Linked DNA regions of Sus scrofa. The protein of the gene in region 1 interacts with the protein of each later gene in a biochemical or structural test. Links are inferred from orthologs where the notes say so. Each region holds a gene or a part of one and is shown on either strand. Other genes may lie near its edges.

What was found. The genes of interacting proteins can lie anywhere in the genome.
Region 2: the proteins of PJA1 (region 1) and MAGED1 form a complex in vitro, tested with the Homo sapiens proteins (2 studies listed by BioGRID, with this or other methods). The link is inferred for Sus scrofa from reciprocal best matches to the Homo sapiens genes PJA1 and MAGED1.
Region 3: the proteins of PJA1 (region 1) and NSMCE3 form a complex in vitro, tested with the Homo sapiens proteins (2 studies listed by BioGRID). The link is inferred for Sus scrofa from reciprocal best matches to the Homo sapiens genes PJA1 and NSMCE3.

Annotation. Positions count from the first base shown.
Region 1 is NC_010461.5:55,277,784-55,282,033, forward strand, and holds the start of PJA1 (E3 ubiquitin-protein ligase Praja-1), read right to left. Parts: upstream 2,801-4,250; 5' UTR 2,658-2,800; intron 586-2,657; 5' UTR 358-585; coding exon 1-357. UniProt on the Homo sapiens protein: Has E2-dependent E3 ubiquitin-protein ligase activity. Ubiquitinates MAGED1 antigen leading to its subsequent degradation by proteasome. May be involved in protein sorting.
Region 2 is NC_010461.5:45,321,113-45,325,338, forward strand, and holds the start of MAGED1 (melanoma-associated antigen D1), read left to right. Parts: upstream 1-1,426; 5' UTR 1,427-1,558; intron 1,559-2,097; 5' UTR 2,098-2,126; coding exon 2,127-2,171; intron 2,172-2,872; coding exon 2,873-3,598; intron 3,599-4,226. UniProt on the Homo sapiens protein: Involved in the apoptotic response after nerve growth factor (NGF) binding in neuronal cells. Inhibits cell cycle progression, and facilitates NGFR-mediated apoptosis. May act as a regulator of the function of DLX family members.
Region 3 is NC_010443.5:144,471,227-144,475,384, forward strand, and holds the start of NSMCE3 (non-structural maintenance of chromosomes element 3 homolog), read right to left. Parts: upstream 2,801-4,158; 5' UTR 2,695-2,800; coding exon 1,858-2,694; 3' UTR 1-1,857. UniProt on the Homo sapiens protein: Component of the SMC5-SMC6 complex, a complex involved in repair of DNA double-strand breaks by homologous recombination. The complex may promote sister chromatid homologous recombination by recruiting the SMC1-SMC3 cohesin complex to double-strand breaks.

The sequences.
Region 1 (4,250 bases):
GTCAACATGTCCATAAGCCATTCCTCTTCTGCTCCCTGAAGCCCTGTACTCTCTGGGCGGGTACCTGGAGTAGTCCTCATTATCAACATTCAGGCTGGTTCCCGAGCTCTCGCTGTCGTCCCAACTACGACGGGTGGTGGAAAATGGTGATCGGCTCCTCTTGGTGGTTTGACTGGGGGCTGACCTGTGCATTGGGACTTCAGATGGCGTCTTTCTCTGGCCGAAAATCCTTTCCTGCTGGCTCGTGGAAGGCCTGAAACTGACACAAGCATGCCTTCTTCCATACCTCCTGTCTGTGTTGGACTGATACCCTCCTGCTGGCTTGGGCCATATAGGCTTGCTAGATTCCTGACCCATTGCTCTGACTTAGGAGGATTTCCAACACGGCTAGGGCTTGATTGGAAAGGCTCCTGCTCCCTGAACACACTTTGGAGATGGGCAAGTCAAATCAGTTCAGAATAAAGGAGCAGGGAGATTTATTTTCACTTCAGCAGGCAGGTAACAGAAAGAATAAGGGGCCTTTAAAATTAGTTTCACTTTCTTCTAAGGCCTGGAGTAGCATTCCAGTGACTGTCAGGTGTAGACCTGGAACACATTTTTAATGTTGGCAAAATGATTACAAAACTGGGTTTGTAGGAAAGCCAGACTTAGAGGAGAATCTGAAGGAAGATGGTGGGGGGGGGGGCGCTGACTGGACGCTTGAGAGGTGGGTGAAGCACTGGCATGGTGCCAACATGGAAAGAGGAAAGACTGCTGTGGTTTTTTTATGGGGTGTCTGCGTTTTTCTGAGCCCTGCAGACATACAGGAGAAATGCAAACTGGAAGAGCATAGAAAATATAGATCCCCACCACTGTGTTGCAAGAGTGCCTATGTGTCTGTCAGGAGGAGAGGGGCAGGTGGAAGGGGGACCAGCAATCACTCAGCAGAGATGTCTGTGTAGGGAAAATGCAGGTGACACTGGCATTGGTAACAGGCATGAGTGTCAGGCAGAATGAGTCCCATTCTGGATGTAGTTATGAAAAAGACCGGCATGGCTTCAGAAGAGAGGGGTGGGAGTATGTATGAGAGAAAGAGAATGTGCGTGTGGTTTGCTGTATGATGGCTGGAACTCTAGTGAGGGAATGCCTGTATTTCCCCATCTGTGGCAGGCCAGAAAGGGTATAGAAGCACTGAACAGGGGTGCCCTTGAATTTGTGTGCATGTGTTCGCCAAATGGGAGGCAACAATGGAGAAATGTCAGTGTGAGTAAATGCATCGATGGGGGTACAGCACTGGAGAGGGATGTGAGTGTGGCAGGGGGGCAGGCATGTGGGCACCAGCAATCAAAGAATGTTTTTTGGCAGGAAGGGGGGAGGCAGTGTCTCTGGAGAAGGATTTATGTGAGTGTGAGTGTGTGCACCACAAGGACCAGCGAAGGAGGGTGTCTAGGCTCATATGCAGCAGACAGGGAGCATCTGAGAGAGGTATGTGAAAAAGGTATGGATGCATAGTATGCATGTAAGTGGCGTAGGAAAAAAGCAATCCAAGGATATCCTTATGTGTGTGTGGTAAGGCAGCCCGGAGGGTGTGTGGGAGGATGAGGATATGTGTGTGTGTGTGTGTGTGTGTGTGTGTGTGTGTGTGTGTGTGTGTGTGTGTGTGTGTGTGTTCTGTGTGCTCACCAGTGCACGCAGAGGCAGAGGGAGGAGGGGGAAGCTTCTGGAGGTGTGAATGTGGCAGTCCGTGAGAGGCTTGGAAAGGCACAGGAAGGTGTGAGGCCATGTGTGTGTGTGTGTGTGTGTGTGTGTCAGGGGAAGGCACTAGAGAGCGTGAGAGTGTGTGAGAGGGTTTGTGTGTGTGAGTGTCCAAGCATGTGCGGGGGAGGGGATACGCAGGAACCTTGAGTATTGGGGGTGATGGTGGTAAGGGAGCCGCAATGGAAGGTTTCTGTGCATGCGTATGTGTGTATGTATATGTGTGTACGTGTGTGCGCGCGCGCACAAGCGTGTGTGCGGGCATGTGCGTGTGTGTCCCTGCTCGCGCGCAAGACACACGGATGGGAGGGGGCCGCAATGTCATAATGAGAAGGGGAGACTTATCGGCTCAAAAGGTAAATCCAAACCAATGGGAAAAGGGGGAAAAAAAAGAAAGAAAAGGGCGTGTGGGGGGTATAGTTTTTCCCTGGGAGTGATTTTGTTTTTCTGACAATTCTTTTCCTGAGAGCAATATATTTACCTAAAAATCTTCACCATTTACCATTCATCAAAACAACTGCAAAATGGGGTAAGAAAGGCCACGGATCGCTCCGCAGAGGAGCCAAAAAAGGAAGGCGGAGGAGGGAAAGGACAGGCAGAGAGAGGTGGGAGAGGGCCTCGACCACCACTCCCCTCTCGAATAACGATTCAAGCCCCCAGAGCGGAGTGGGGGCGGGCCACACGAAAGGGGCCGTTGTTGGGGCCGGGTGACGGAGGATGGAGCCCTAAATCAGACCGATGGAGGACACAGGCCTCCCTCTGCGGTCAGGACCCTCGTCCGCCCCACCCCTTCCCGAGGGGCGAGCCCGAAAATCTGTTCACTTAGAGCCCCCACCTCCACCTCGCCTCCCCCCCCGCCCCCCGGCCCCTCGCCCCACCGCCACGTCTGGAGGGATCGAGGAAAGAAACAGCCTTTCACTCACCCAGTCGCGACCCCCCGCACACTCTGGTGAAGAGCAGAGCTTTCGGACCTCCGACCGCCACGACCGCCAGAGCCGCTGCTCCCGGGGCTCCAGCTCCTCCCCCTCCAGACAGCAGTGGGGCGGGCACGACTGCGGCGGCGGAAGTGATTGTGGCGTCGCGGCGACCCGCCCCCTTGATGTGGCGGGGGCAGCAGCTGCTCTCGACAAATCAGGGTGGACCCGAAAGCATTATTTCATTTGAAATGATGAAATCGTCAAGGATACAGAAAAGGACAGCGAAAAATGTAACCAACAGTCGGCTTTAACAAGTGTTAAACATTTAGTCATATGCCTTTCCATTCTGTGCTTTTGGTAGCTGTTGTTGTCTTAAATAAAATGAAATCTGCAAATTCTTTCTGGTTCATTCTGGTGTGAAAATAATTATATTAATATACCCTATCCTATGTGCTATGTTATGGTTTGTATTGGAAGTTATCACTGTATTTAGGGTTGCAGTAGGCTTAAATTTTTTTTTAAATATGGTCGTTGAAGCAAATTGAACTGTTTACAGTAGAATTTGTTGCTGTTTATCACAAAATCGAGCTTCTCTGCCCAAAAGAAATTTTCAGTCATGAAGCACAACCTGGATTCACATTCTGGTAATTGCATTGCACTTTTTAAATATTATAATATTTAATATGCCTTTTGGATTTATACAATTTTATTGAACTCTGGAACTCCTTTTTTTAAATTGCACTTTACAAATATCTCTAGTATTTGTACCAAATGTAAAGATTCTCTATGTTCCTAATAGCAATGCTTTGTTCTTACTGGAAATAAAATGCATAATAGAAAAACAGGAGATTTTAGGGGTAGCAACAACAGAAATAGGATGTATAACTTTCAAACCATTAAAGAAATAATATGTACAACAAAGAGAAAAGCTCAATCTAACAAAAGGCAGAAATGGGATGGGAGGCAATTTAAAAAAGCATTTTTTAATGGCAGAAATAAAAATATATTAATATGTATTTTGGGTTAACATCTCCCATAAAAATTTTTAAAAAGCGAACTCTCATTTTGAGCATTTAATTTTTAGAAATCCAGTTATATGCTGTTTATATGAGATTCACCTAAAGCAGAAATAAGATTGGAAAATATATGCTAGTAAATATCAGCAGAAAAGAGGGAAAGAAAAAAAAAGAAGGAAGGGAGGGAAGGGAGGAATTTTTAAAAGGAAAAAGAAAGAGGAGGAAAGAAGGAAGGAGGGAGACTTATAGCAATGTTAATGTCAGAAAAATCAAGAACTCAAAGTAAAAAGCATTAAAAGAAAACAAATTGAGTTGTTCCATTCACTGAGAACATACAGTCACTAAAATTTATATGCCAAACAATGTAATTCCAAAATGTATGAGGCAAATATTGTTAGAAATATAGAGATTAGAGAGTCTGCAATTATAGTGGGGGACTTAACTGCATTGATTTTGGTGTAGATAGAGCAAATCAACTGAGAGATAAACAAGGATAGAGAGATACTGAACAACCCAATTAATAAGCCTCATCCAATGTATGTGTAGTTTTGTACTCAAGAAATAATGTCTTTTTCACTAAAAA
Region 2 (4,226 bases), about 10 Mb from region 1:
CTTTGCACTTTATGGTTTGCATATTGAACAAACCTGGCTCAGAAAAGTCCAGTGACCTGAGCAGGCTCACACAGCTAGTAGACACTGGCTCACCCTCCATCCCACGAATTGAAGCCCAGCCCAGGAAGGGACCAGGGCAAACATTCTGAATCCGGGCTTGCCATGGCTCAGAATTGCAAGTGCCTGATTGTCTTGGCCACTCCAGCGGGCACCAGAAAGGCCTCAGGGGTAGGGCGTTTGTGCCTCTCACAATGAAGGGGCCTGACGGCCGGAGCAGGGAGTGGACCCCAATGAGCAATTCCCATATCTGGATGGACCCACAGAGCAGGAGGGCGGGGAGTGGGAGGGGGCGGGGCGGAGGAAGAGCTGGGACCTCTATCTGTTTCCTCCTAAATTGAGAGCATGAGCTTAAGTCTCAGGGAACACTAACCTTGTCTGTTTGGGACAGATGTTGACAGGGCAGGAGGTGGGATAGATCTGTTGCTTAAACTGATAAAAGGAGGGTGCTTCAGTCCCTGGGCCAGCGCCGGTGGATCGTGGGTTTTAGGGTCTGGAAGACCCAGGACAGGACCACATTTTGCTTTCTCTGTTTACTGGCTTTGTGGCTTTGTCTAGTTCATGCAATATGTTTGTACCTCAGCGTCTTTATCTGTAAAATGGAGATGCTGACATCCACCTCCCAGGGCTGCTGTAAGAAGAAAACAAGCCCCAGCATAGATCGTGCTGTGAAGTACAAACTGTGCCCTTCCCTCCCCTCCTCCCCACCTCCCCACCTTCCCACCTCCACACACAAAATAAATAGCTGGAGCTGCACAAAGGGCAGGAAAGAAGCTAATGTTTATGAGTCTGGGATCTGTTGAGGAGGGGGGTGGAAATCATGGAGTCACGTGGCAGGCACAGACTCTACCTCTAATAATGTATCCTCTGGCCGTTCCTTTTCCTGGGTCCCTAAGTGGATGTGCTTATTTTTAGCCCGAGCCAAACACTTGTAGCAGTTAGAGCCCCCCTACAGAGACCTCCTTAATAGTGACCTAAGTGCTGCTAGACTAGGGGGTGGAGATGCATGCCGACCTGACAGGAGGGGCCGTGCGAGGGGAGGGATAGAACAGAGACGCATTGCGGAAAAGGTAGGGGGCCAGTGTGTGGGGCAAGGGGTGGGATCTAGAGGCACTGCGAATCTGTTTGGGGGAGGGGATATAGAGAAAGGGGAGGGATCGCTGTATACTGTCGACCTGGTTGGTGGTGGGGTGGTGTGTTGGCAAAGGGGCGGGATTGCCTCCCACTGCACATGCGCACCTTAGTCTTCAGGACGAAGCTTTTGTTGGGAAAGCAGGCGGGACTCTTATTTGGTCGGTCAGTTCTTGCGCATGCGTACAACCATCTGAGGCGGTGGGTGGTATATTAGGCGAAGAGGCGGGGTCGTCCTAGCTGCCGCGCTGGCATTTTCTCCTGGACAAGGAGAGGGTGCGGCTGCTGAGAGCCGAGCACTGCAATCCCGATCCTCTGAGTCGTGAAGAAGGGAGGCAACGAGGGGGTTGGGGTTGGGGCCTGAGGCAAGGTGAGAATTAGCCCCCAGACAGGGCATCTGCCCCCTGGTGCGGGCCCCCCATTTTTCATCCCAATCCCTTTACCCCGGATTCTGATCCTTCTTCCACTCCCCGAACCCTAATTCACACCCCTCACCCGATCCTCCCTTATTCAGAATCCCTGTTTGCTCTCTGAGCCCCTCCCATCGTTCAGAATTTACAGATTTCTCGACCTCAATCTGTACTGTTATATGATTCCTCCTGATTCGGAAACTCCATTCAGTTTCCCATATGCGAATCCCAGTGCTATCCGCCTGGATTCAGAACTCTTAAATCGGTTTTCCAAACCCCGATTTGAAGCTTCTCCCCGTCGTAGCTTCTAGGGATTCAGAACATCCATCCGGACACCCATTCACTTTTCCCACTCCGATCTGGCCCGTTCCCCTCACATTCAGCACCTCATCCGCCCCCACAATCAAACCTCAAACACCACCGTCTCCCCACATTCATTCCTTCCCATTTACCCTCTGTAGTGTAACGCCTAACTCCTCCCCCACACCCCCCTCCCCAGGCTCTGCTCTTGCCAGAGGGACAAGAACCATGGCTCAGAAAATGGACTGTGGTGCGGGCCTCCTCGGCTTCCAGGTGAGATCTCCACTCCCCACCCCACCATTTCCCCAGCCGACAGTTTCCCCCTTCCCGGGCCCCTTTGGCTATCCAAACGCCTGGATCAGATTGTGCCTTCTTGGTGCCTGGATTCCTTCATTTTTCAAATTCCCATGGTTTATGGGGGAGGGGGCGTCCCTTTCAGCCATCAGTCCCTGCTCAGAGAAAGGGGAGACCCTGTTAGTAGTCAGGGCAATCTGCCCAGAGAATGCGGGTTGGGTAAGGAACCATTTTTTTCCATAGTCCTGATGCTTGTAGAGCTCTTTGCCGCCCCCTCCCCCAGCCTCCTCCACCCTCCCTTCCTCCTGCATTCCCCACCCCTTGCGACCCCCTTATTCTCCTCAACTCCTCCAGGCGGCACTCTTGCTCCACCTCCTCCTGCTCCTGAGCTCCTACCTCACACTGCAATGTTCTGCTCTAACCTCACTCCCAGATCAGCACCTGCCTTCCACTTTGCCCCCCTCACCTCATCGCCGCCCGCCCCATGTTTAACCTCTGCCCCACTCAGCCCCTCTCACACGTTCTGTTATCACTTCATTCCTCTCAGGCCTCTAGATCTCTGCCTCAGCCTTCCTCTCTTTGCACCAGCCGCCCCCCCTGCACCTCCTCTGAGCTACTCCCCCGCTCCCAACCCCACTTTGTGAGGCCCAGAGATTTATTTTTTCCCCTTGTATTTGCAGGCTGAGGCCTCTGTAGAAGACAGCACCTTGCTTATGCAGACCCTGATGGAGGCCATCCAGATCTCGGAGGCTCCACCTACCAACCAGGCCACAGCAGCTGCCAGTGGGCCAAATGCTAGTCCTCAGAGTTCACAGCCCCCATCTGCCAATGAGGTGGCTGATATTCAGGCTTTAGCAGCTGCCACTAAGCCTAAGACAGCCTTTAAGGCCCAGAATGCCACCACAAAAGGCCCAAATGCTGCCTATGATTTCTCTCAGGCTCTTAATGCCAAGGAGATTCCCAGCACACCACCTACGGTAGCCTTTAAGGCCCCAAATGCCCCCTCAAAGGGCCCAAATGCTGCCTATGATTTTTCCCAGGCAGCAACCACCAGTGAGTTAACTGCCAAACCTGAGATGGCCTTTAAGGCCCAGAATGCCACTACGAAGGTGGGCCCAAATGCCACTTACAATTTCTCTCCATCTCTCAATGCCAATGAGATGGTCAACACTCAGCCTAAGACAGCCTTCAAGGCTTGGAATGATACCACTAAAGCCCCAACAGCTGAAACCCAGACCCAGAATATTAACCAGGCCAAGATGGCCACTTCCCAGGCTGACATAGAGGCTGACCCAGGACCAGGTATCTGTGAATCTGATGGTGCAGCTGCACAGACATCAGCAGATGGCTCCCAGGCTCAGAATCTGGAATCCAGGACTATAATTCGGGGCAAGAGGACCCGAAAGGTGAGATCCCTGCTAGTTCCACTTTGCTTTGGGCCTCTCCTTTCTTCTGTGAGGTTGTTCATTTGTTCTAAAACAAAACAATATATAGCTGCCTGTATTCAGCTAGGTTGTAGGGGATGATAAGATGTATGTGATAATTCCTGTCCTCTGAGTGTCCACGGACTAATGGGGAGATGAGACATGGACATGTAATATATCCAGTCTGCATGTAATTCCTTGTGTATTTTGATAGTAGCCATCATGTGTTAGGTCTTGGCCTAGGCACATTCACACAGGTTATCTCACGCACTAAATCTTCAAGATGCTTCATACCGGCTGGGGTCATAGTTTCAGTTTTACAGGGAAGGAAACTAGTTTCCAGAGAGGTGAAGTGACTTGAGTGATTTGTCCAGGGTGGTACAAGCAGAGCCAGTGGTGAACATAGGAAGAGGAGAAGCTTCAGGCCCCACCCTTGGGTTGCTCCTGGCCTGGTTCAGAGATGAAACTCCTGCCTGGAAGACAGTGAAAGACAAGCCCAGGACTCAGGGTGACCATTGGCTAGTGGGTCAGGCTGTCACTACAGGTGAGGGTTTTAGGGGGCCTTCCTGGAATAGATAGGGCAAGGACATAGAAACAGTTGGTGACTCTG
Region 3 (4,158 bases), on another chromosome or scaffold:
GCAATTGATCAAATAATTATTAGAAGGATTAAAGGATATGAATTTCTTACTGTTCGAGAAGTTAGGTACAGATAGAACAGTACAGATAGAACAAGGGAGAAAACCATAATAAACACTACGGTATAGAATGGATATGCTATTATCAATGTAATGTCATAGTTTTCAGTAGATGATAGCTAGATATACAAATAGACAAAAAGACTAACTTTGTCATGTAGAGGGCTAGAAGCAAGGATACTTCTAGAAGGCATGAGGAAACCTGGCAACCTTGTTTCTGAATTCGTTTCCATCCAAAAGGAATCAGAGCTCTTTGGAGAAAATGGCTGAGAGGTCTGTGGCAGGGAAAATTCAAGTTAAGGCTGAATGATCTTTTTGTGCCAGAAAGTATGGAATTGCTCAAAGAATGATGGGGGCAAGTAGAAGACACAAAAGCCAGCTTTAAAATGCTCCCAGTGGCAAACAGGGACAATTTGGGTATCAAAATAAATCGTGACAATAAAAGACTATAATGAATCTATACAGATAAAAGTGAATAAACTGAAATTTTGGTGAGGAATACAATATTTACAAAATCTCTGTCTCCACACAAGTTGCTTGTTTGTTACAAAGGGAAATGGAAAATTTCAAAGTGTAGAGGAATGGCAGAAACCACCTTAACCAAAGTGATCAAAGTTACAAAATAATAGGACAAATTGAAAACTAAATAGATAATGAAAGAAAACCTTCAAAATTTTTTTTTGTTGCTCCATACCAAGAATAAAAAACATATTTAAACAAACTTTTAAGGAACAGAGCAACAACTAAAATCCCCCACACCCAGCATTGTGCCAAGAACTTCACACATATTTCCATATCTAAGTATCACATCACACACAATACAGGCATCATCAACCCACTTTACAGGTGAGGAAAAATCTGTATACATCTTAAGTAACATGCCTAATTCATATAGCTAGTTATGCAGAAGTAGAATCTGAATCCAGATAGTTTGCTTCCCAGGTAGGCATGGTTAATCACTAATGGCTTTATCTTTTCTGTAACCCACTGAAAGAAATACATTTTACATCGTGATATGCACATACACAAATAAAACAATTTCCACAAAACACTATTTACCTTAATGCTATGTAGCAAAAAGTGTTTTTTGTTAAGATGCCTGTTTTCAGTCATGAAATTAATTTCTCGACTTATGGTTAAAAAAATGCACAATGCTGCTTCAAAACACAGTATTTATTGTAACTATAGTAGCCAAAAAAGGAAAAAAATAAATGTAACTAAAAGTCAGCCACACAACCTAGTAGTAATTATCGAGGTAAAGTTATTTGGGAAAAATACAGCATGTACATTACTTAGAATGATTCATAACGCTTACATACATAAAAAATACATTCTAAAAGTAGCTATGCTAAATTTAAAAAGGGATATAGGCAATTACATTTTATAGACTTTTATTGTTTCAATTTATAGACTTTTATTGTTCCTTTCAAAGTGGGGTCGTCAAGAGGCCAGGTAAGAGCCATTTCGTGCTTTTATTTCCTTGACATCAAAGCAACTTACTGACGTGTTCTTTCTTCAATATCTATTTCCAGATCATGGTACAAAGTTTTCCAATTAGCTTTAGAAAGCTAGCGAGATTTTTATACCAAAAAACACAGACAATAAATCAAAACAAATCGTCCGTTAATATTTTTATAGGTGAAAATTTGGAACCAAGGAACTTGCAATATAAGTCGGCAAACACATCCTAAAACTACGCACATTGAAGCTTTAGCAGAAAGATGCACACACACCACACACACACACACACACACACACGCCCCCCACCCCCCCCTGGAGTCCCTCTGAGTCTCTCAGATTTCAAGAAGAAGGGGCTGGGCCACCTGTTGGGGGTCTGGCCCTGGCCTCCTCCTCAGCCAGAGCCTCACAGTACTGAGCCGGCCAGTCCTTGGGGTCCTGATTGTGGACTTTGGCCACGAACTTGAGCACCTTCATCTTGCTGGTCTCCAGGTTGGTGCGTGGGCCCCACTGGAGCTCGTAGTCCACAGGATCAGTGTGGGGGATGCGCCGGTACTCCAGATACCTCTGCCGCACGAAGTCCTCGGTTATAAGCTTCTTGGGGTCCCCGAAGATCAGGTGCTTCTTGGTGGGGTGCACCCCGAGGCGCCGCAGAAAGTCCCAGACCTCCGTCTCCTTGATGCTGTTGCCTTTCATAAAGATGAGCCCCAGCACGATCATCAGCAACCCGGTGGTAGGTGTGCCCTGGTCGCCGCGCACCTCGGCGTCCTCCTCCACCGGCTCCAGCGTGTTGACCAGGATGTAGGTGTTGCTCCGGGGCTCCAGCTCTACCAGCCGGTACCCGAACACGTACTCCAGGCGCTCGGCTGCCAGCCGGAGCAGCTCCGGGAGGACGTCTTTATAGTCTCCGACCACGTGCTTCAGGATGTCGGTGCGCCGGATCGGGATCTTCCTCTGGTCCTTGATCAGCAGGAACTGCACGAGTTCGGCCACCTTCAGCTCCAGCTGCTTCTGCGACCGGGGCCCCGGCGCTGGGGAGGCCTCGGCCCGCCGGCCGCCCTGCGAGGAAGGCCCGCGGGACGTGCTCGGGACCTCCTCTGCGCCGCCGCCTCCTCCCCAGTCCCGCTCCCGTTCTGCCTGGGTGCCGGCGCGGCCGCGACTCTTCGGTTTTTGCGACATATCGCGGCGGCGGGCCCCGGACGGCGCGGACTCACAGTAACCGGCGGCTGCGAGATTGCGGGTAGGCGCGCAGCTGGTCCCGGCGGCCCGGGGCGGGGCCACGGGCGCGAGTTCCTCACGGAGGCTGCGCGCTGCGTCAAGAGGGCTGCGCGCTACGTCACGGAGTTCGCGCCACGTCTTGTGGGTAGGTCGGAGCAGTGGCCTTTTGGCAGTCAGGAAAGTGGGGTCTTTGCTCAGCCTTGGCGGTCCCTATGGCTTCTTTTATTATAATTAAGGATTGTCCTTACCAAGCCAAGCAGATAGAGAACAGGAAACAAAGCCCCTAACAGAGCGACTAGGACTACTGAGAGTAAGTATGACGAGTTCTCAAGTCGGAACTTGTTAGGTGAAGGAAACTCCGAAGGTGAATGTGGGAGAAAAACCGCGGAGAGCGTGAAAGGAAAGTGAAAGCATTTCTTTTCCATTCAAAACTAGATGTAAAAGGAATGAAAAACCATGAGGACTAGTTTGCTTTCACCAATCCCTCCTAACCGTTTCCCAAGAGTTACTTTCTCTAAAGCCTGTTTAAAACAGTCTCTTTAAAAACAAAGGTAACAACAGACTTGCCTTTTCACTATTTCAGTGTCGATATTGTGTACATATAAATACCATCAGCTGGACAACTTCGCGAAGCCGCCCCATAAATCACGTTTAATTGGAGTGTTTTTGCTTGGTCAAGGGAGTTTATCTTTTATAAAGCACATGCTCATGAAAATCGCCTTGGTCCCACAACCAGAATTTTAGCAGAAATGGGTGAGAGAAAGCTACCAACAAAGATATGCGCTCTCAAGAGGTTGCCGTTTAATTTTAGGCATCCTGACCAAGAACTGCAATCATGGACTGCCTTAATAGATCAGCCTTAAGGGCTCAATGTGAAAGTTAGGAGAACCCAAGGGTAGCATCCCTTATAATCTATTAAATGTGCAAAAAAAAATATATATATATATATATATATACATATATATATACACACACATAGTGCAACTTTAATAACCAACATGAATTGTTTCATTAACTCAAACCATTTGCAGTCTGCTGCCTTATTTCCACGGATCTTAGCAAATGCCTTTCTTTAAAAAAATTTTTTTTCTTTCGTTTTTTTGTCTTTTTGTCTTTTTAGGGCCGCACCCATGCATATGGAGGTTCCCAGGCTAGGGGTCTAATCAGAGCTGCAGCTGCCAGCCTACACCACAGCAACGCCAGATCCAAGCCGAGTCTGCCACCTACACCACAGCTCAAGGAAATGCTGGATCCTTAGGCCACTGAGTGAGGGCAGGGATGGAACCCAGACCTCATGGTTCCTAGTCAGATTCATTTCTGCTGCGCCACAATGGGAACTCCAGCCTTCCTTTTCTATTTAGTGACTTGCAAAGAAGAAACTGAGTTTCCCATTTTGTCTTTTTTAAAGCTACCAGAAAGTGGGTA